Linked DNA regions of Mytilus edulis. The protein of the gene in region 2 interacts with the protein of the main gene of each other region in a pairwise test. Links are inferred from orthologs where the notes say so. Each region holds a gene or a part of one and is shown on either strand. Other genes may lie near its edges.

What was found. The genes of interacting proteins can lie anywhere in the genome.
Region 1: the proteins of translationally-controlled tumor protein homolog (region 2) and GTP-binding protein Rheb-like interact in binary tests that used the Drosophila melanogaster proteins (3 or more experiments, as listed by UniProt). The link is inferred for Mytilus edulis from reciprocal best matches to the Drosophila melanogaster genes Tctp and Rheb.

The regions. Positions count from the first base shown.
Region 1 is NC_092345.1:73,200,522-73,211,693, reverse strand, and holds the start of GTP-binding protein Rheb-like, read left to right. Parts: upstream 1-5,860; 5' UTR 5,861-5,995; coding exon 5,996-6,044; intron 6,045-9,267; coding exon 9,268-9,339; intron 9,340-9,952; coding exon 9,953-10,020; intron 10,021-10,623; coding exon 10,624-10,706; intron 10,707-11,172. UniProt on the Drosophila melanogaster protein: Binds GTP and exhibits intrinsic GTPase activity. Activates the protein kinase activity of TORC1, and thereby plays a role in the regulation of apoptosis. Stimulates the phosphorylation of S6K through activation of TORC1 signaling.
Region 2 is NC_092346.1:46,577,398-46,588,952, forward strand, and holds the start of translationally-controlled tumor protein homolog, read left to right. Parts: upstream 1-6,390; 5' UTR 6,391-6,516; coding exon 6,517-6,544; intron 6,545-8,641; coding exon 8,642-8,715; intron 8,716-9,130; coding exon 9,131-9,315; intron 9,316-9,964; coding exon 9,965-10,083; intron 10,084-11,555. UniProt on the Drosophila melanogaster protein: Involved in calcium binding and microtubule stabilization.

The DNA.
Region 1 (11,172 bases), on a different chromosome or scaffold from region 2:
AGACGAGTGGCTAAAATATACGGAAACAACACTTGAGCAATGAAACATAATATATACGGAAACACTGACATGAACAATGAATTTAGGCCATGAATATTGAAAACTGATATAAAAAAGTGTAATATTAAAGTATTATTATACATCATGTTAAAATGCCATATTTCGATTGCCTAATACGAAGGTTTTAATTTACTCTATCACATGGCTGAGCGGGTGACAATTTTTTTGGAATGTCACCCTCTCGGCTAGACCAATCAAAAATCGGCATTTAAACGACAATGAATTGAATCTACATCAAGTTATTTTATAGACAATGCTTAAAGTTCTAATTTACTATACAACGAAGCGTGGAACGACTCAAACTTATTTCTTTTACAATTGTTGGAAAAACGTATTTCACTTGTTAATATTTTTACTTTAAAACCTATAAATCATTGTGTGTTATGCTTATTGTTGATATTAAACGCATTCGTTCACCATCGATGGGTTTCAACTGGTGATGTTCATTTCATCATGTTCATTGTGATGTATATTTCTCAGCCAGATACCCAAAATTTAAATAAAATAAATAACAATAACAAAATAACAACAATTGAAAATATTTTTTTTCTTGATAGCAGAGCTTTTTTCCCGTTTCGGGCCTAATCCTTGTATCGTTTATATGTCAAGTCAATGCACTACTATTGTCTATTTACTTCACTTCTGATGATTTTTCAAATACCCGTTACGCTGTCAAGTACGTGACTACATAGAAAATACTTTATAATAAAACTCATCTGTTAAAGAAAATGATGATAAGACATTCATTATAATAAATCAAATATCACATAGCTGAGAGGGTGCTAGAGCAGATCGGTATCCCTCGAAAAAACATTGTCAACCTTGGCTTCGCCGCGGTTGACAATGTTTTCTCGGGACCCAATTTGCTCTATCACCCTCTCAGCTATGTGTTATTTATATCTTATCACATATTTGTTATGGATACGGATACATTTTTAAGATTTACCTGTTATGTTTCATTAAATTGTTATAATTGAACTTTTTCCCCTCTTTTCTGCAACACTTAAATATGTGATAAATAGCTTTAAAGATTATAACATGTTTTTCCATATTTGCCCTGGTATCATCCCTCAATCCATATCGGCCCTCGGCTAAAGCCTCGAGGCCGATATGGGAGTCTCGGGATGATACCAGGGCTAATATAGAAAAGGGCATGTTATAATCTATACATATTGATTTCATCCAAGAATGTTCGCATATATCATGCGGATTCTGTTTAGGTTGTCATGAATGACACTAATTTGTATCTAAATTGGTATTAACCAGTATATAAATCAGAGATAAACGTCGTAATGTAACTAAACATCAGTAATTAAAATATATTGGGATGCTAGAATATATAAAGAATAAAGAAATAATAATGAGTAAGATAAAATAAAATGTAGAGAAAAGTAACAGACAATTTAAAGAATATAGAAATAAACAACACCCCCAATCCGGACCCTCATTGTATACACGAGAATCTGGATGGAAACACAGAATATATAGAATAATAGATAAGGACAGTAGGAAGTGATGCATTAATAAAAAAAGATAAAAAAAATAATAACTGTTTGAGATTAATGACATGAAACTTCCCTTGGTGTTGAAACAGTAACGGATTGCTATGTACTCATATTGGTAATAAATGCTAAAAGTTTACATGCGGACAACTGCAGTTCTCCTCTGCACTTATGTAGAAAGGAACTAAACGGAATAAAATGAATTAAAACTTAAGATAACCAAATGTAGCTGCATTCGCTCCTTTCCATTTACTTCTTTAGACTGATTTGTAAACAACAGATGATTCAGTAATAGAAGAAAAGAACCAATCGAATGATGTTGACGATTTAGAGTTTAACGTCCAGTGACAAATATCATGTGCATATGAGAACGACAACACGTTATATGTACCCTGTGTTGTATTAGAAAGACACTTTCGGACGGATTTGAGAACGTGCTACTTTGAACAGACACACAAATAAAGGCTGAAGAAAACGTTAATAATAGATTCATGCATATTCCAGCAGGCAATCCATATCCATATATTGAAGTGACACACTCCTTTATAAAATGCAAAGGAAGTCAAAATAAAAATGTTCTTACTAGAAGGATACTGTTGCAGCGTATTGTCATTTTTTTTTTACTCAAGAGCATCTCATTCTTAACTTTTTCAAAGGGAAAATATAAAGGTAGCACAACTATTGTCGTGACTAAATAACTCTTAACTGACACAATTTCAATTGTCCAACCCATTAACAGACTTTATTCCCATAATGTTCACTAAAACGTGGTATTACTGACGTTATATTACAATTATGAAATATTTACTAATTTCAATTTATATTTTAGAACCAAAGTACGATTTTGTGTCCTTTAAATGATATCTAAAATTGTTTTTTTCGCCTTTCATTACAAAAATTGCTATGCGTATAAGCATAAATACTACATACTTGCGCGACGCCTTTTAGTTTTACTGAAAACTGCGCAGACTATGAAATGTTTTTACAGTTGGAAACTGTTCTATGATATATATCATTTTGTCAGACACTTTTCTTTTTTTGATTTGATTCTTATAATGTACCTAAAATCTGTATATTAAATAGATTTTAATATTAAAATTGTGCGTTTTACTCTTAACAGACGTATAACCAACCCGATTAACAGACCAACCGCCGATATAGCCGCATACTCAATATAGATTAACCGACTATCTCTCGGTTAGCCGAGTGTCGGCCGTGTAATCGTATATATATATATATCAGATTTTTTAAAGTTACAACTTACATGTTACTATCTTTCTCGTTGAATCTCAGATGACATGATTTTCTCTTTTTGTTTTCTTCGTATCACTGCTTTCTTACAAATACACAACAGGAAATAATCACAAAAGTGACCATCCCATTACATTCAGATTTCCTATAAACTTAATTACCATAGCAACTATCTTTGAAATTTGTCGAACATATGTTCAAACCTTATCAGAATGGGCTTGATTAACAGACTGGCTGTATCAAATATCACTCTGCATATAATTGCTATTATTTTGTTTCACAAAGTTTAATGAATAAAGTTATTATAAATAATGATTGCAATAAATTTTAATTTTTAACCAGGCAATCTATGTTTACGATATACATTTTTTTTATTACAGTAATGATATTCCAGTATAAATTTTACCTGACTTAATTATATATAGAGTATAATATATGATCACGCAACGTTGGGCCAGTATTGGCCCAGCATAGAGTTGTAAATGTAATTTCAGTTGATAAACACTTTCGGTATAACATTAACTTTTCATAAAGCTTGCTGCAATCGAAATTATCCGCCTCCCAAGAGAAATAAAGCGCAAAATATTATATAATCAATTCTATTAACAAAATTTCATATCGGCCCTATGTTGCTACTAACATAATGCCAACATTTGCCCGATTATTTATAACCAACATGAGATAATAATATGAATTTACAACAACAGACCAACGTTGGGCCAATGTTGTGCAGCCGACACCAACGTGCGACCAATGTACCGACAATTTGCCAACGTTGGGCCAATGTTGTGCAGCCAACATAAACTTGCGACCAACGGACCGACAATTTGCCATCGTTGGGCCAATGTTGTGCAGCCAACATAAACTTGCGACCAACGGACCGACAATTTGCCAACGTTGGGCCAATGTTGTGAAGCCAACACCAACGGTCGACCAACGGGCCGACCATTTGCCAACGTTGGCCCACTGTTAGTCTGCTGACTGGGCAGTGATTGTATAATTTCATTTGGATAAACTTTACCAATATTTTCTTGTTTCTGTGCAGTATCATCAATTATGGTACCTATTAAACTTATTGATATTTTTCTTGAGAGACTCATACACATATACTTTTAAACAACTGATGTCATATATCATAACAGACAAGATTCAAATTTATATGTTAATGCACTGGTCAGACATTTATAGGTTAAACAAGTACATAACCTAAGATATATTTGTTGTCATTTTGAATGTCAATGTTTACAAATGACTGATTCCATACTGGTACCACATGCCACATATATAATAGTAAATGTAGTAATAGATCATACAATTATTTATAAAATGATAAGTTTGTGGTCAGGTATTTGTAGTACATCATTTGTAACCTTAAGTTGTGACAGTACTATATGATTCATATTAGTTATTATTAACTAATGGGCAAATCATTAGGCTAAATAACTGTTTCTCAATTGCACTAGCAGAAAACAATCTTGTATACCGGGATATTTCACTCAAGTGAATTTCACCTCAAACGAGCTTGTAATTCAGTGGTTGTCGTTTGTTGATGTGTTACATATTTGTTTTTATTTCATATTTTTGTACATAAATTAGGCCGTTAGTTTTCTCGTTTGAATTGTTTTACACTTGTAATTTCAGTGCCTTTTATAGCTGAATATATTGTATGGTGATTTGCTCATTATTGAAGGCCGTACGGTGACATATAGTTGTTAATTTCAGTGTCAGTTGGTCATTTGGTCACTTGTGGAGAGTTGTCACATTGGCAATCAAACCACATCTTCGTTTTTTATATAGTATACTACGTGGAACTCACTTTTCATGTATGTTTAACCTGAAATTCACTCACGTGAATTTTTTACACTTGAAATGCACGTGAATTTTCAATATAAAGTTATTCAATTAACATCTAAGTTTTTAAATTAAATCAAATTCATGAAAAATACTATTTTCAGTATCTTGTATAGTTCACGTATAAAATTTCATTTCAGATATCTAATGACATGCGTCTTTTGATTTCATACAAATTCTTCCAAGTTTTCCTCAATCGTTTTTTATTATGCACATATAGAATGAAAAATAGAAATTGATTTTTTTATATTCATTTTTCTCGATACCAATTAATAGTATTTGTATCCTAAAATAAAAAAACAACAACATTCTTTTATATACGGGGAGATTTTCCAGCTACAAGTGGAATCAAAGTGAAATCTACCCTAGACGACCTTATACCGGCGTGAATCCTACATGAAAATTTTCACGTAAATTCCACGTGAATAATGAGTTTTAGGGAGCAACCATTTAGCTTCAAAAGGGGATTGGGTTTTGTCGGGATTTTTTTTTACATTTAACACTATAAGGAATGGGGAGAATCTGGATTCAGACATTTGTTTTTGTCATCTGCTTGACCACAATATTTTTTCATCAAACTGGGGATCCATACCCTGCCCCCTTTTTTTAAGTTAAATTGTCGTTTCTTAGCATTGTCTGTTGCTTTTAATAAGTGATCATGTAGTGTGTATGTAAAGATGATTGCTTTCTTGTTACGTGGATGATTTAAGGGTTTTGCAATGAGCATGTGATGATATTGTTAAAAACACAATGATGTCATCTGCAAAGGGGCGAACATTACTTTTGAGGTAGGCAGGCATGTTAGCATAAACATGTAATTGTAAAAATGAATCACGGCTTCTCTTTGTTATTTTACTATGATGGTATTTTAAAGAGTTGATCATGCACACATTTTCCAATAAAGCGATTTCATACAAAATCTGATTCGGTTAACCAGGGACTTTCTGTTAGTCAGTATAGAAAGTCCCTGTGACAACACTTTTGCATCCCAAATAAATTACAAAACTTGAGAAGAATTTATTTCTTTGAAAATACTGAATCAGGGAGTACGTAAAAACTTAGTGATATAATATATCGATGTCAAGTTGCAAGATCGTTACGTTATTCATATATGATTCGAACCTTCTGTGTTTGACAAAGAAAAGGTCGAGTCGAGAATAGGGCGACTTGTCCTTTTCACTTATCAAGGGGACGTAACTCGGAAAAACAATAAGAACCGGAAGTCAATATAATTTTGCAATGCGACATTGACATGGTTTGAAAACAAAAACAAACGTGTTTACATTCACAAAAAACAGACCTTGTCCTTTTATATGTTGTGATCAACAGAAATGGCAGCAAAACAAAAAAGAATAGCTTTAATGGGCTTCAGATCTGTTGGTTGGTTTCTCTGTATCATATAAATTTTCTTTTCGTTGAATCTAAAAAAATGTACATTTGTAGCAGTGCCCAGATATTTTGATAGTAAATCGTATACCCCATTCATCTTACATCCCAATTGGTATACCTTCATATGACAAAATGTAAAACACCTTACAAATTACTGAAGGAAGCAAGTACTCCCTGTTAGCCTTTTGATGTTTTATACTGGAACTTTGATGCTGAACATCATGACATCCCTCAGAGCGAAGCCAGTTGAATACACCTTATCGCTATTTAAAAGTCTATCCCGCTCAAACTTTTGACATACATTAATCACTTTTCTATTGTGAGTTCAGATATTTTCTTTTATTACGTCAAAATTTTATGGGAACTTTTGTGATGTCCAGTAATGGATGAAAAATAGCAATAAGATGTACATTTGTATTGTAACTGGATGGCCAGTGGGGTGTTGTCCAATTTAGAAATGAACTGACATTTTATGGTCCACTATCATCATTTCTACAAAAATGCCACTAGAAACCTTGAGCTCCCTGAAATCAACTACACAGACGTGTGAGAATAGCGGCTAACGACATTGATAAATAACTTTATTGACTTACTTTAACTTTTAACTTACATGTAACTAGATTCTTATTTAGTGTTCTAGCCAGGATTTTAAAAGGGCAAGGTGCTAGTCAGAAAAAAGGCAATTTTTGCATGAATGTCATTGAAAAAGGGCAATTATTTATGCCTCATAATTAATAAGAATATAACTTAGGAACTATGGTAAAATCAAGTTTTGGTTAAGGTTTTTGTGGACCCTTTTGCTAAAATGGCTGCTTATAAAGGAAACATTCAATAGAAAATAAACATACCTAAAAAGGAAAAATTAATGATATGACAAAATAAATCATTTTGCAGTGAATTTCATAATGATTAAAGCATAAACAAAAGATAAAAGTATGATATTAACAAATGTTCTGGAAAAAAAAGTTGTTAGATAGAATAAAGATAAAGAAAATTTAAAAGTATAAGGGTACTACATTTTGTATAAACATGTTACATTCAGATGGAAAGTTGCAGAAAAACCACTTTGAAAGACAATTTTGACATCACACGTTTACATTTACAACAAAATTTATGTCGGTAAAAAACTCCTGATCTGAGACCTAATCTGACCAAAATTTCCCAATCTCCTGATCTGAGTTTCAAAGTCCATCACATGTATGATAATCATTGTGACTTAGAGATCGAAAATGCCGACCCAAGCTAAACACACTCCAAGCTAAACACTCGTTGACACATTCATCAAAAGTATGACAAAAAGATACATTGTCCTAATTAAATTACCTAGTTACATTTGTATTAACACCTTTGAAGTCTTTATCATTGTAATTGATTGTAATGACATGATTAACCTGGGGGCAATCACACAGGTGTCATATATGTAATTAATTTGGAGATCAGAAATCGATGAAACAAAATTTTACCAAAACGGCGCAAGATAATTTTGGAAAAAGACGTCAGGGCAGAAGGGCGCGGATGAAGGCACCCAGGGCGCGGCTGAGGGCACCCAGGGCGCGGCGCCCTTCTATTTCGGGCTAGCGAGACCACTGTGATAAGATGAAGTGTTTATTCCTAATTGGCGACTATGGAAGTTTTAGAGGACCTTGTCACCAATTAGGAATTCATACTTCATCTTATAAAAACTGCAATATAAAATGTATAACTAGTATTCCTTCAATCCACTTGATAGATCAGTTATAAATGAAAATTAAGATGAAACAAATAATTTTCAAAATGTTAATTTTTTAGGTAAAATTAAGAAATTCCGGTGAAAAAATATTTTAAGGTTTATGTACCCTTCTGTAGTCATTTTTGTACGAACTTTTCAAACTTCAATTGTATCAAAACTACAGATATAATGAATAATAGAGATAGGCCATTTTGTACATATTCCAAGGGGAAACTTGATGCAAAGCATTATTTTTTACTGTTCCATTGCATTTAATAGAAAAAGAGGACTTTGTGGCAAATAAATCAAGATTTTTATAGAAAATCCACAGCCTTTATCCTTGTACTCTCATATTTGGCAATGTGATGACTGATAGATATAGGATTATTGCATGCAGTGCTAGCATTGATTTCCTTAAAACAAGTTTATAAATGTAGTTATTGGTTAAGACAAGTATAAATATGGCCAAAATCAAGTACACCTTTTAGGGTGCGCTCGACTTTAGTGACTCAGCACGAGGTGTTTTGGAATTTACAGGTTACTTAGAACTTTTTGTAAAAAATAAACACTAGCACATCATAGAAAATCAAGTGAGTAATTTATGTTTCAAATTTTATAACAAAATTCTCTGTATTAAAGGCTGTGGATTTTCTATAAAAATCTTGATTTATTTGCCACAAAATCCTCTTTTTCTATCAAATGCAATGAAACAGTAAAAAATATTGCTTTGCATCAAGTTTCCCCTTGGAACATGTACTAAATGGCCTATCTCTATTATTTATTATATCTTCAGTTTTGATACAATTGAGGTTTGAAAAATTCGTACAAAAATGGCTACAGAAGGGTACATAAACCTTAAAGTAATACATGTATCTGATATGCATTTGCATTCAATTTATTAAAGTTTGGGTTTTTTTTACGAAAAAGAACATTAATGTAAGGAGTATAACGTGAAAGGTGATATAAAAGAGGAAATAAATCAAATTTGTTTGTCAAACATTTTTGAAATACATAAATTATTATTTACTTAAAGCCTAAGGTAATTGGTGTTAATTACCAATGTGTTTGACACCAAAGCTGTCAGGTGAAGATATGCACTTTTTTAGAGAGTTTACACAGCTAACTGAACTTTCTGTTCATAGAAGAATTACAAATTTGCCAGCATTTCAAAGGCAGAAAATGCTAGATTTTAGTGCTAAAAACGGCGGGGCCCTTGAGAAAACAGCAGATAAAAGGCATGGCCTTCAATAAAAAAGGGCCAGTGCTGCGCCATGTTCAAACTTTGTAGCTAGAACACTGTTATTTCACTTTCTATTTATATCTGTAACTTTGTCATAACAACCTTTATTGTAACATTATTTTTTGTACTTCACTGTTTGATTTCTAATGTTATATTGTCCTCAAGACACTACGCTTGTTGGCGAAACATGTAAACCAGAATAAAATCTTACCATGCTGTAATTATTGGCTATTGTCTTTATTATCGTTTTATGTTTTATATTGTAGGAAAATCATCAGTTACCATTCAGTTTATAGAAAAACAGTTTGTTGATTCATATGATCCAACAATAGAAAACAGTAAGTATGAAACTCCAATCTCATATTCCAAATTGTAATCAGGGTTTTCGCTAACATTATTTGAAGTCCTAGAGTAGAGCTCATCTCTTTTTGCAGAAGTGAGGCTCAATTGATTTTGGTAAGGTCTTATAATATTACATTTGTAACTCAAATAATTCTTATCTGGATCAGCTGTTGGTCTTGAGCTTTACATCAGTGTAAATAAAGTTTAATCAGTGAAATGATCACAGTTAACAAACCTAACCACTGGAATATTGAGGATTATTATAATAGTTGTAGTAAATCATTTACAAACTAGCAAATGTTCAATATGATGAAAAGAGATGAATCCCCGAATTCACCCTAAAGATATCCTTGTGAGAACCCTGGGTAGTATTAAATGAAATGTTTAAAAGCATATCAGATTTTATCAATTTTTGAAGTTTAATTACAACAATTAATACTTTGTTAAAAGGAAAAATAATGTAAATTCACAAACGCAAGTTAACAAGTTTTGTGTGAAGGACATTTATCGGTAAAATATTTTAAAATCGGAACATCTGTATCACAAATAAATTTAACCAAAATTGCACTGAATATACAATAATAAAGTTTCCTGTTTTGTATTTTATAGCCTTCCACAAGAATCTAAAGATAAAAGGACAAGAGTATGCCTTAGAAGTTGTTGACACAGCAGGACAGGTTGGTTACACAAGGCTCGCTTCTATTCAGTGAAAATTATTATAAAAGTGATATTAGATAACTCTGTGCATTGATCAAAGTTAGATTGTTGTTATGCCCAATTGTACTTTAATTTTCTGTTTTGATTCTGTAAAATTATACATTCTCCTTGAGAAAAAGTTGTTTTTGGTATTTTTTTGGATAGGATTAGAGTAAAAGAATTATAAATACATTTATGTCTGCAAAAGTTCATGAACAAAATAACAAAATTGTTTTTTCTTTGAGAGGATTAATTTTCAACAGCATAGTTATTTGCTCAAAAGCAAAAAAAAAAATTAAGTTCATTAGACCACATTCATTCTGTGTCAGAAACTTATGCTGTGTCAACTATTTAATCACAATCCAAATTCAGAGCTGTATTCAGCTTGAATGTTATGTCAATACTTGCCCAAACCGTTAAGGGTTCAATCTGCGGTCATATAAAGCTGCGCCCTGTTGAGCATCTGGTTTTGTATATACGTATACTTTTATTGAATGGAATTAAAATCTGAAAGAAATTTAGTAATCATTTGCCGTCTATGATTGAACATAATAATTCATATTATTTTATAATCTTTTTTACAGGATGAATATTCTATTCTACCTCAGAGTTATTATATTTCTGTAGATGGTTACGTTTTAGTGTATTCAGTAAATTCTCGTAAAAGGTAAGTTTTGATTCAGCATTCTTTTAGAGTATGCTTGGTGCAGCAAATATCTTGTTTGATCAAATTTCACTGAATGTTGCAATAGGTATGTTTTGACATAAAAATTGAAAGGAACTTATTAACTTTGAGAAGCACACAAAATATAGGCTATTACCTAAACACATAATGGTTACTAATATGATTGAGTGAGCTGTGATTCTGTGTTTCTTTTCTTATCCATCTCCATCATCAACTATTACTATTTATTGAATTTATGCAGTCTGTTAATGAAAACAGTTATTTAGTCAAGGGGTAAAATAATACCAATACTTTATGACTACTCATTCCTTTTTATACGACCGCAAATTTTGAAAAAATTTTCGTCGTATATTGCTATCACGTTGGCGTCTGCGTCGTCGTCGTCGTCCGGCGTCCGAATACTTTTAGTTTTCGCACTCTAACTTTAGTAAAAGTGAATGGAAATCTA
Region 2 (11,555 bases):
CTGATTAAAGTTGTTTTACATCAATCATAAATTCCGAGTTGTACTCAAGAATATAGCCGAGCTGTTAAATCTCTCTCCGGCTGAAACCAAATACTTGGAAATTATTTATAATAGTAGTTGCCACTTCTCTACAAAGTACCAAACAATTAAGAATGTCGGTCTTGTTATGTTATTTTACCTCTCAAAGTTGGATCTGAGCATCATCGTGTAATAAAATAAATATATCTTATAATATTATTTTTTTTAGATATTTCCTTCTATGTTTTAATTATGCGTTGCCTTTTTTTTTTACATAAACTCCATATATATATATATGTACGTAAAATTTTTAATTGCAGGGCAAATGCAAAGTCAAAGAATACGATCAATGGCAAGTTGATTACCAGAAGTGCCTTAGCAAACATTGATGGTATTGGAATTCAGGCTTCCAATTTTCATGAATTATACAAGTCTTTCGTATATGATGAAATGTTTTCAAATGGTATCAAGTTAAGGATGATGCGATATCTTATTTCTGAGCAACTTAAGAGTTTAAAATTAGTTGGAAATTCAAAAAGCAAAGGGATCAAAATAACAATGACTGATGAAAAAGGCAACACGCCCAACTCACAGAATTTGACAGCTACAGAAAGACTAGAATCTGGAGAAACTACACATAAAATTGTTTCTGCGGATGTGATAACTATGGTAAATGCTGCAACTCAACAATCGGAAGATATTTATCATATACAGTCAAACGACAAACGTCCACCTTCGTCTAAGCATGGTAGATACAAGCGGTCTTTAAGGAGTTTGTTTTCGTTCAGGAGTGGATTGTTTGGCACAGGAAGACGGGTTTCATTCAGAAAAGATCTTTTCGGAGTATCATGGCCTGTAATGTATAAGATGTCTCCCCGCCGTCGTAAATATGTGCCATCAGTTTCCACTTTAACGTCATTTCAAGACTCGTATGGTATTCTAGATCCACTCGCAAGCAATCTGATTGGTTAAGAAGAGTATACCTACATCGAAACTTGAGTTTTAACTCTTTTGAATTAATAAATAGGACAAAGATCATTAAGTTGGTAGACTTATTGTTTTAATTTGATCCGTTTCTTATTATATGTTTTCTTTCTTCTTTCTATGCCTTAGGCCCTTATGAATTTGTTCGTAACATCTCTCGGAAATCGTAAATCAAATGTTTTCAAAACTATAGTAAAGGATCATGTAGCCCTTTGTCATTAATTGTTATTAAGTTAAAGTTTGCAGACTTTGGTTTTAAAGTTGAAAACGAATTAATTTGAGGAGGTCTTCTAAAGAAGCCTATTAGGAAATGTTCATTTGCACAATTACAATGTAATCATGTAGTTACTCCTGAATCAATTGGACTTAATTGCATTTCATTTGGTTTAACTTGGTAGCATACAGTCATGTGAACAAAACTTCCCAATTTTGAACTTTCCATTTATATTATGTATACCAACATTCCGGCAGCGCCTGCATATGGAGTATATGTAATTAGAATCTCCCAGTTTATATCTATATTCTAAGGCTTGCGTTTCCTTTATCATGATCATTAGATGGTTGCTGCTCACAATGAAGATGGCAAACGAAAAGATCCAAAGTGGTGAAGTTGAAATCATCCCTTCGTAAATTTTACGTACGCCATCACGATTTAGTTGACAGTTATTAAATTTCTGTATCATAGATGAAAATGGAGATATTACAGCTACCGTAAGGTTCCACAATATCGTCATTTTACTGAATTAGACTTATTACCAGGTTTGTACTAACATAGGCAACACGATGGGTGCCACATGTGGAATAGGATTTCTACTCACACCTTCGGAGGACATGAGATCACCGCCAATTTCTGTTGGAGTTAATGTTGTTCAGTGTCTAGTTTTATATATTTGGTTTTGTATACCATTGTTTGTCTTATGGTCGTTTTCTCACTTGATTGAGGGGGGGCGAGGGGTTTAGCTGTTATGCTGTTATGGGGCATTTTAATTCTTTGTTATCTGTTATTCTGAAAATATATTTGCTGTTAGCTGTTATTGTCTCATTCTTTGTTAGCTGTTATTGTCTCATTCTTTGTTAGCTGTTATTGGGTTTTTTAGTTATTTTGTTATCTGTTATTGTGATAATGTATTTGCTGTTAGCTGTTATTGAAAATTGGGATGTTAACATTTTTGGGACAGCCAAAATTCGGTAGAAATTGAAGATCATTGAACATTGGAGTCTACCACTAACTAATATGTTGGTCCCGTATTCGGAGAAGGATTCCATTAACATATACCCATCACAAAAGTGAGGTCCAGGACAATTCCATTATATCTTATGATTATCCTTCGTAAAAGCTTTTATATTATATGGTACATAGAATCAGCTCTTTTCAAAGCAGAACCAAATACATTGTACAATGAAAGTTCCCACCATGTACAGGGTTCCGAAGCTACACGTAACTCATTACAATTAAAGATTTATTTCAACTTCAAGCCATAGTTCACCTATTAAACTATATATATGTATTCTACTTACTAGTAGACTTGGTATACAATCAAAACCTGATAACAATTTGTTCAAATAAGGCCTTTGAAAATAGTGGAATAAATTACTTTTGGAGTGTCAAAATTGGTCCTACTTAATAAATTGCATGCTTATACTAGTAATTGGTGCTTTTGATTTTTCTACCCTATATACAACTTTGCCTCATAGTCTTATTCAGAAAAATTCACACACCTCATTAAATGGGCATTTAAAAAAAGTCAGAATGCGAATATATATATTCAAACTCTTTTAGGTCATTTTTTAATTGCAACAAACACAAGAACTATGTCAATTGGACCTACTTTGATACCATAACTGCCCTTGAATTTTTACTAGATATAATTTTTGTCTCTTTGACATATTCCTCATTTCCAATCTCAATTTTATTACACATTATTTAAATTACAAACATGTGTGAGTTTCGATATTTGTACAAAAATAAATGCTGAAAAAAGTATTCCATAACAAATAAACAGCTACGCCATGAGTGCATTATACGCCCGTCACCTTTTGGAAATATTCGATAACTTCTCAATGTCATATCAGATATTTATAAAAATCAGTCAATATATATCATGTATATAAACAATACATCAAAGTTTCATGAGAACTGCAGAGAACATTTTTGAGTTATTGTCCGAAAACTGGAAAATACCATCTTTTTTAATGAATAAACCCCTTAACTGAATAACATTAAATCGGAAATAAAAAAAAAATCGAAAAGGCATGTTCATAGAAAATGGAATTCATTACAAAGGATTATACCCGTAATAAGAAATACTGGATTTGTCAAGGACCCGACTTATTTTAATATTTCATTTACTGTTATCTGTTTTTGTCCATTTTAATTCTTTGTTATCTGTTATAAGCCAAATCAATTTGCTGTTTTGCTGTTATTGGGACCCCCTTGCCCCCCTCTTGATTCAAGGAAAAGTATTTGACCTAATTTGAATTTCATTTGTCTGTCGTCCGTCTTAAAATAGCGACTATGTCACATCTACATCTACATCTACATAATACTTCTTAACTTCAATATGTCACTCATTGACTAATTATAGAAACAAACAAAGCGTACACGAATGAAATGACATGTGAAGTATACTTAAATAAGACAGCAACCCAATGACGCCAACAACAAAAACAAAAATATATAGAACAACATACAGTCTACATAATATCACGTACGATGATTGTACAACAATAGCAGTATACACATTTAATCATTAAAGTCTATAACACCAAAGACAAATATTTGATGGATATTTCTTAAACTTGTTAATCGTTTATAAAATTGCTTTTATTAATTTCAAATTCCTGAAGGTAAAATCACACTTCCACATTATAATAGCGGACTACATTTGTGATAAAATTTTGTTATATATAAATTTTCAGTATTGAAAATATAAGGTTCGTTGAAAGCTGCGATGTCCAGTGGCGGATCCAGAAATTTTCATAAGTGGGGACCCACTGACTGACCTAAGAGGGGACCCGCTCCAGTCACGCTTCAGTGATTCCTTATATAAGCAACCAATTTTTTTCTCAAAAAGGGGGGCCGGGCACCCTGCCCTCCCCCTAAATCCGCCTCTGATGTCACTGCAAAAGTAAAATAACAAAAATACCAAACTCCAATGAAAATGATCTTACTAAATGGTAAAATCAAAAGCTCAAACACATTGATCAAATGGAAAACAACTGCCATATGTCTGACTTTGTATGCAGGCATTTCCGGACTTTTAGTATACAAAAAGGTGGATATTACACCTGTTGTTTTGGTTACTTAAAAAAACGCATACATCGACAAAAATTGATAATGTAAATTCAGTAATCTTGAAGCCAACTGAAGATCAACATTAAGAAAAGGAAAATAAACAATAGGAATGAAAAAAATCGTCCTGTTTATCGTAAACTTTATGATTACTCACGAGCCATTTTAATATTAAAGGGGCATTAGCTATGAGATAAAACGCAGTATTGCATTTTGATTATGATTTTTTTTTATCAACTATTAATGAAAGTGATATAGTGAAATAACAATTCGCGTTTAGTAGCCGATTTGGTCAATTTTGTCAAAATAAGATAAAAAAAAAAAAAAAAAAACCCCAACAAATGTCCATAGTACACGGATGCCCCACTCGCACTATCATTTTCTGTGTTCAGTGGACCGTGAAGTTATGCTCTAATTTGGCATTAAGATTAGAAAGATCATATCATAGGGTACATGTGTAATAAGTTTCAAGTTGATTGGACTTCAACTTCACCAAAAACTTTAACCTGAAGTGGGACAGACGGACCGTCGAACATGTGTATCAACCCCTGGCCTTAGCTGGATATAGGTTACACATGTATTGAGCTATTAAAAGGAAAATAATGTCAAATGTAAAGTGAAATCAGGATGAACCATTTGGGTGACTTATATTCGATCAACAAAAAAATTTGCATAATGGTAAAACGATGATAAACATACCTTTTAAGATACAATGTGATATCAAACACATCTAGAAAAATCTAATTGCACAAGGACGCTTTATATCAGTTAATGTTTAAATGTATGTTTATATTTGGTTATATGACCGTCGGCGGTCTTCTGAGGTTATCTCGATATGGTTATATTAGATTACTCGGAACAGGCACATATAAACATTGAATCAGCATTGGCGGGGTTAAGCATGTTATCTGATTTCTAATATATTCTACGTTTCTATGGGAAATAAATGCATGGGCAAAAAAAACGAGATTTTTCTTTTATAAGGATCAATTTCTTTTCAGAATGAAATGTTTTTATGAATAAACATGTTCATGCTTTGCCGACTGGTACTAGCATAGAATATTTTACAAAATATTCTATTAAAGGATCTCGAAAACCACTTGAACGACTAATTGGTTCTGAACTTACAGTTAAAAATATACATTTGAAATCCTCTTTAGATTACAGTTGAAGACCCCATCCGACATCAATCTCGTCTTTCGCCAATACTAAATTAAACATGTTAAAAGAAGAAAAATGGGGTGGGGGGGGGGGTCGGGGGGGGGGAGTGAAAAATTTATGATGTACCCATTTCTTTCCAGCTTTTTTTGAAAAGGACTATACATGTAATTGCCAACAAAGTTTTGGTTGGATAATAAGGCAGCGAATTTTCATCTTTAAGGCGTCCATTTTTTCCCCTCTGGAAACCCATTTCTAGTTTTCAACTTTATTGCTGTAATAAAGCAAAACACCGCCATATGTGTTATTTCAAATCTCACTAGATATTTCTATGTGCTTCATTTTATGGTAGAAACTGTCTTATTGATATATGTCATTTTTGTGCATAATTTTCACGGTACCTTGTGGAAGTTTTAGATTTGTTAAATAGATGCTATTTCGTTTGGCAAAACAACATTTTTAAAGTTAAAACGGTATTTAAATTAATTACTATTCCCCACCGACTTCATAAAAGCGGAAAGAAATAATTGGCTTCTGATTTCTTATATATGACATGTATATATGACCTAAAATCCTGTATTTAACCATGAAAATTAACAGTTAAGAAATATTTGGGACGATATATAATTGTTGGCATAGTTTTGACCAGTCATCTCTATTTGTATATTAAAGGCACAAAGTCTGCATGAGATGAGACAAATTGAACCTCACGTTATTTTCCAGCTGGAAATATCTGATTAAGGACATTCACATTGCAAACATGTGCTGCTCTATCAAACCAATCATCGGTCTTCAGAAAATGTCTACTCCTGGATGAATTTGACGGTCCGAGTTGTCTTCCTAGACGGTCTATTATGACTTAATAGTCGGTCCAATTTGAAGCGGTACGACTTGTCTCGGGGACGAGTTAGTCCACATTGGAAGAACTGTCACTTTAGAAAGCTTCTTTGTTTAAAACGTTTTGATGACAAACAAAACCGGAAGTGGTCCTTTTACCAGTTCTGACAGCCGGTGTCGCAACACTTCTGTTTATAACAGAAAATAATCTACCAACATCAGCCAAAATGATTATTTACAGGTGTAAAATATCAGGTAAATTAATAAATTATACACTTTTTGATATTTTTTGCCATTTTGATTAGCTGAATTTTACGATCAAAGTAGAAAACAGAATCTTTTATATGAGTGTATTAGTCAGCTGGTTTGTAAAGCTATTTCAAACACTCCCTTTACTATCCCAGTTTGGATCTGGCTGAAAAAACTGGTGACTTTCATTCAATGATTTGTTGTAAAGCTAATGTAGATAACAACACAGAAATCACTGTAGAGATCGACTGTAAACAATGGTCAACTAGACTGTTACAATTCTACTTTGAACAAATTATTATAACCGAACGGCGAAAGGAATCTGTGACGTACCCATCCATATTCATAAGTGGGAAATACAGATACAGATTATAAGTCCGAGATTACTCTGACGTCCAACGGCTGTTTTGCCAGACAAGCTGGGGCCGTGGGACGTCAGAGCTCGTCCCATATCAAAAAGTGGATATTTGCCCACCCAAAATAGATGCGCTGCTTCGTCGCTTCTATTTCTGATTGAGGGCCTTGAAATTATATAAATTGGGCATCAATCTGTTCATTTTTCATTTATCTCTTCATTTATGTAAGTTTCACCTACCTGCCCACCTTTATTTTTCCATATTTAAACAGTTTTCACAGAGACCCATCGATTTCTGCATTTTGACTTTCACTTTCAAATGGACGTCAAGTTACGAGAGAGTTCGTGGCCTCGAGACTCAAATATGCAAATATTTATATTTTTTCACCTCCTTTGTAGGAGATCAATGTTTAACATTTAGAAGCCAACCACGATTTTTCACCTCCTTTACAGGAGATCGGTATTAAGCATTTAGTTCCGACCACGATAACAATCGGAAGCTCTCGGACATTTAGATAACTTGCATCGTAAATGAACGAGGTGTTACAATATGGTCATTTGCACTGTTTTCTCATGGTCACGTGATAATCTTTGAAAATGAAAGTCAAAATGCAGAAATCGCTAATCTCAGCTTTAAAATTGAAAGTGAAAATTGTTGCTTGCAAGGTAAATTGGTCTCAAACTGTCATATTTTTTTTAGAAATAAAATGATCTTTGAACATCAATCGTGAATCCGTGCGGGAAATATGTGACAATCAACACGGGTACGGAATCGTCGCAGCTTAATTCTGTATAATGTCACCAGTAAATACTTTGAATGGTCTTAACTTTAACGAAGTTTCGTTGATATATACTTGCCAAAGATAGGTTTTAACAATAATGCACACGGAAGCGTAAATAAATGTCAAACTACAGAAAATGGTCAGCTGTTCATTAAAATATTTTTGTTTTAAAAAGTTGTATACCAAATATCTTAACCATATTCGATTTTATTAATTCTGAATGAACATGCTCTCTGCAAATAACAAAGGGGTGAATTCTAAGCAAAAGGCAGATGATGAAAGTAGAAGTATTTTTTCAGACCAATGACTTCTAATGAACAGGGAAATACACCTCCGATCCGTCTACACTCAGCTGTCAGTATACGCGGATATTATTGCTTCCCCTAATCCCAACCAAGCTAAAGTTTTAGCAAGTGATAAAAGCAAGCACCATGTTCTTGGTTTCAGTGACAAGTGGCTGACTGAGTTTTCATGGCTTAGAAATGTTAAAGGGGGTATCAGCAAAAGTTATTGTGAGAGGGGGTTTTGAACCCCTAAAGAGGATAAAGACAAAGTTGAGGAACAGACTGTCCAACAAAATAGCATTATCTTGAAACAATATCCCTAGGAGTAGGGAGTACAGAGATGAATATTTTTATTTTGACATCTTTAATGGACTGAATATAAATAACTTTTGTGTTTAAATCAATTTATTTCATATATTCTTGTAATTCATTAATACTTTGCATTATTAAACACACAACACAAAAGATTATAACTCATATTGCATGTCATGATTTATGACTGATTGATTGATTCAGATCACAAAAGTTCACTATAAAAAAGAGTTACACGCCCTTGAATTTTGCGCCTTAGAAAATTCCTGGGGAGAACACTGGTTAAAGATGTTTAGTGTGAAAATATGATTTAAAATTTGTTTCTTCAAAATTACTTGAGAAAATATATTATTGTATTACTTTTTTTCAGGAGATGAATTGTTCAGTGATGCTTTTGAACCAATGATTGTGAAAGAAGACTTCTTCTATGAAATTGAGGGAAAGGTAATTATTATTTACATTATCATCCTTCTCTTCATCTATATCACCCTGCTCAATTGCTTTGTTATTCTAGTACCAAGGCTTTGAGGTGTGATGTTATTCTTGTACCAAGGCTTTTTATGTGTAAGCAACCAATATAAGTGAATTACAATGTCTGCAGAAGAGTTTTCAACAACGTCATTATGTGTGAGATGTCCAGCATAAAACAATCGAAATGAGGGAGGAAATACCAGCAAAAGAACTAAACAGGTTATCTTGTTTTCTATGAATAGAATTCACAATCTTCAGGCTTTCATTCATGTTTGAAGAGATAATATTTATTAATCTGTTTGCTTAAAATGTATGGTAGAAATTAAAAATATAATCTAACATGTTACGATGTATTTGACAAACTACAATATACTTTTATCTTTTGTAGAATATTTCTATCAGCAATAAAATTGATGAATCTGCAATTGGAGCCAACGCTTCAGCAGAGGAGGCAGCAGAAGGCCAAGAAGACTTAGTAGAAACCAAAATTAATGTAATTTACAGTCACAAACTTCAAGAAACCAGTTTTGACAAGAAAGGTTTCCAGACATTTATCAAAGAATATATTAAAGTGTATGTCAAATTTTGTCATGCAGGTTCAACAAATCTCCATACGACCACTTCTGTTTATAATTTATGATTCCTAAAACATTTTAATTTCTAGGCAGTTTTTTTCATTGCATCATTTCAGTATCGAAAGATTTTCTATTTACACTATTTAATGTCCTTGAATATGAATTAAAATTCAGGATTCTATAAGTGCACTTTTCACCAGCCCAGTAGTCTGCACTTCTGTGTTGATATGGAGTATCATTGATAAACTTTCCAGGTCCTTGCTGTAGAACTTCTTTTTTTTTGTATTTGGGGAAACCAACATTCAGAATCCATAAGGCCTACAAATGTCTGATCAATTCACAGATTTCTGTAGAAAGTATAAAGAAAGTAGCTGAAATTGATCATTCAAATAGTTGAAAGATATATAATGCACACATGATTATTGAACACTTTCTAATTTGTCTTTTATATTGTAAAATTATATATATTGATCACATGTTTGTACCATTTGTATATGTAAAGATAAATTGTGCATGCATTTTAGAGACAGAAAATTAAATGGCTATACAGTTATAATACAATCAAATGCTGCATTTGATCATCAAGATTTCTAAACTTAAGTTTTTAATGATTGAATCCTTCAAAAAATATATTTTTGATATTTCAGATTATTAGCTAAAATTGAAGAAGAAAAAGGCAAAGAAGCTGCAGATGAATTCAAAAAGCGAGCAGCCACAGGTGTAAAAAAAGTTTTAGAAAACTTCAAAAATTGGCAATTTTTCCAAGGTATATTTACATGTAGTAATATATATTAAAGGCCAAATAAAAGTATATGTGTGGTCCTAGTTGCCCTCCAACCCTAGAACTTTTGTTCTTCATTTCTATTTCATAGGATCAATTTTTGAGGATTGTGAATTTAATTTTATATAATGAAATTCAGATTTTTGTCATCTGATTTTCCGAACTTAGCCACTATCATTATTAGGGTATTTAGTTAGAAAAATGGGTGGTGTGACCCAATCAACCAATCAAGATGGCTGCCATGGTCAGTGTTCTCCCCAGGATTTTTGGATAGCGCTGTGGTAAGCGCGTAATTTTCGACGATTCTCAGTAACTTTATCGCGGCACGCAGTTTGTTTGTAATTTATTTGTTATGTGTTTTTATTATATCATGCTGTTGATTTTTCCTCTTGTTATGATGTCCTTGTCATGCTCATGGAAGTTACAGTGTACCCATTAATGAGGCTTTGTTTGTTAACGACGTGTTATTGTCTGGATATATAGAAGAAGAGGTTTTTTTTCTCCATGGCCTTGTAATTTCATATATTAAATCCTCATACTATCTATGTATACAACTGAAGATGGATCTACACCAGACTGCCTGTGCCAAGATTTCTTAGCACCATCAGGTAATGTTGCAGAACATGTAGGACTAACAATAAAGTCATTATCAGTTTCTGTTTGGTTTTGTAACCAACTGTAGCAGTGTACTGTCAACCTTACGACGTTTGACAGGAATTTACATTTCTCATTTTTATGACCCAAACGTTTTATAATATTTAAATGGCTTCATCCAAGCTGGACATCGAGAAAGTAAATTTCTCAAGTCGTATCAGCTTGGGGTTTGTTTTTCTAATCATATCCTCTCAAAATTGTTATCAAATGGTAGAATTTCTGACAAAAAAATTATAAGTTCAAATAGGAAATAACTAAAACCTAACAGACTTGCTCATTTTCGGGGTTTGTATGGATAGTAAACCCGGCAAATAATTTGGAACAAACCCCTGTGTTTGATCGTTTTTAAAATCATCGTTTGTTCAAAGTTCGTAAAACAAGTTTGTGAGTGACGTCGGCAAATGCGACCAATTCATTTCATCTCATTTCATTCATATATGCCTCTATATTTTCTTTAAATTATAAAAATAGATGTCAATGTTGAAATCTTTGTTTATTTTGATCTGTCAAAAACGCCATTTTGTAAAATTTATTAGACTGGTACCGCGGAGTTACTTTAACACAACGGAAATAATTCATTCGAAAATTGTAAACCAGTCGATCACGTGATCCGAAGTGAAAAATAAGCGGGAAATTTGAAAATTTTGAAAAATACGAAAAAAAATATAGCGACGCGGTTGCGTTGGATAGCGACGCGGTCAGTGCAATAGGACAGCGGGGAATTGCAATAGCGCTGAAAAGCGCTGTGCTAAAACGGCCTGGGGAGAACACTGATGGTTAAAAATAGAACACGGGGGTAAAAT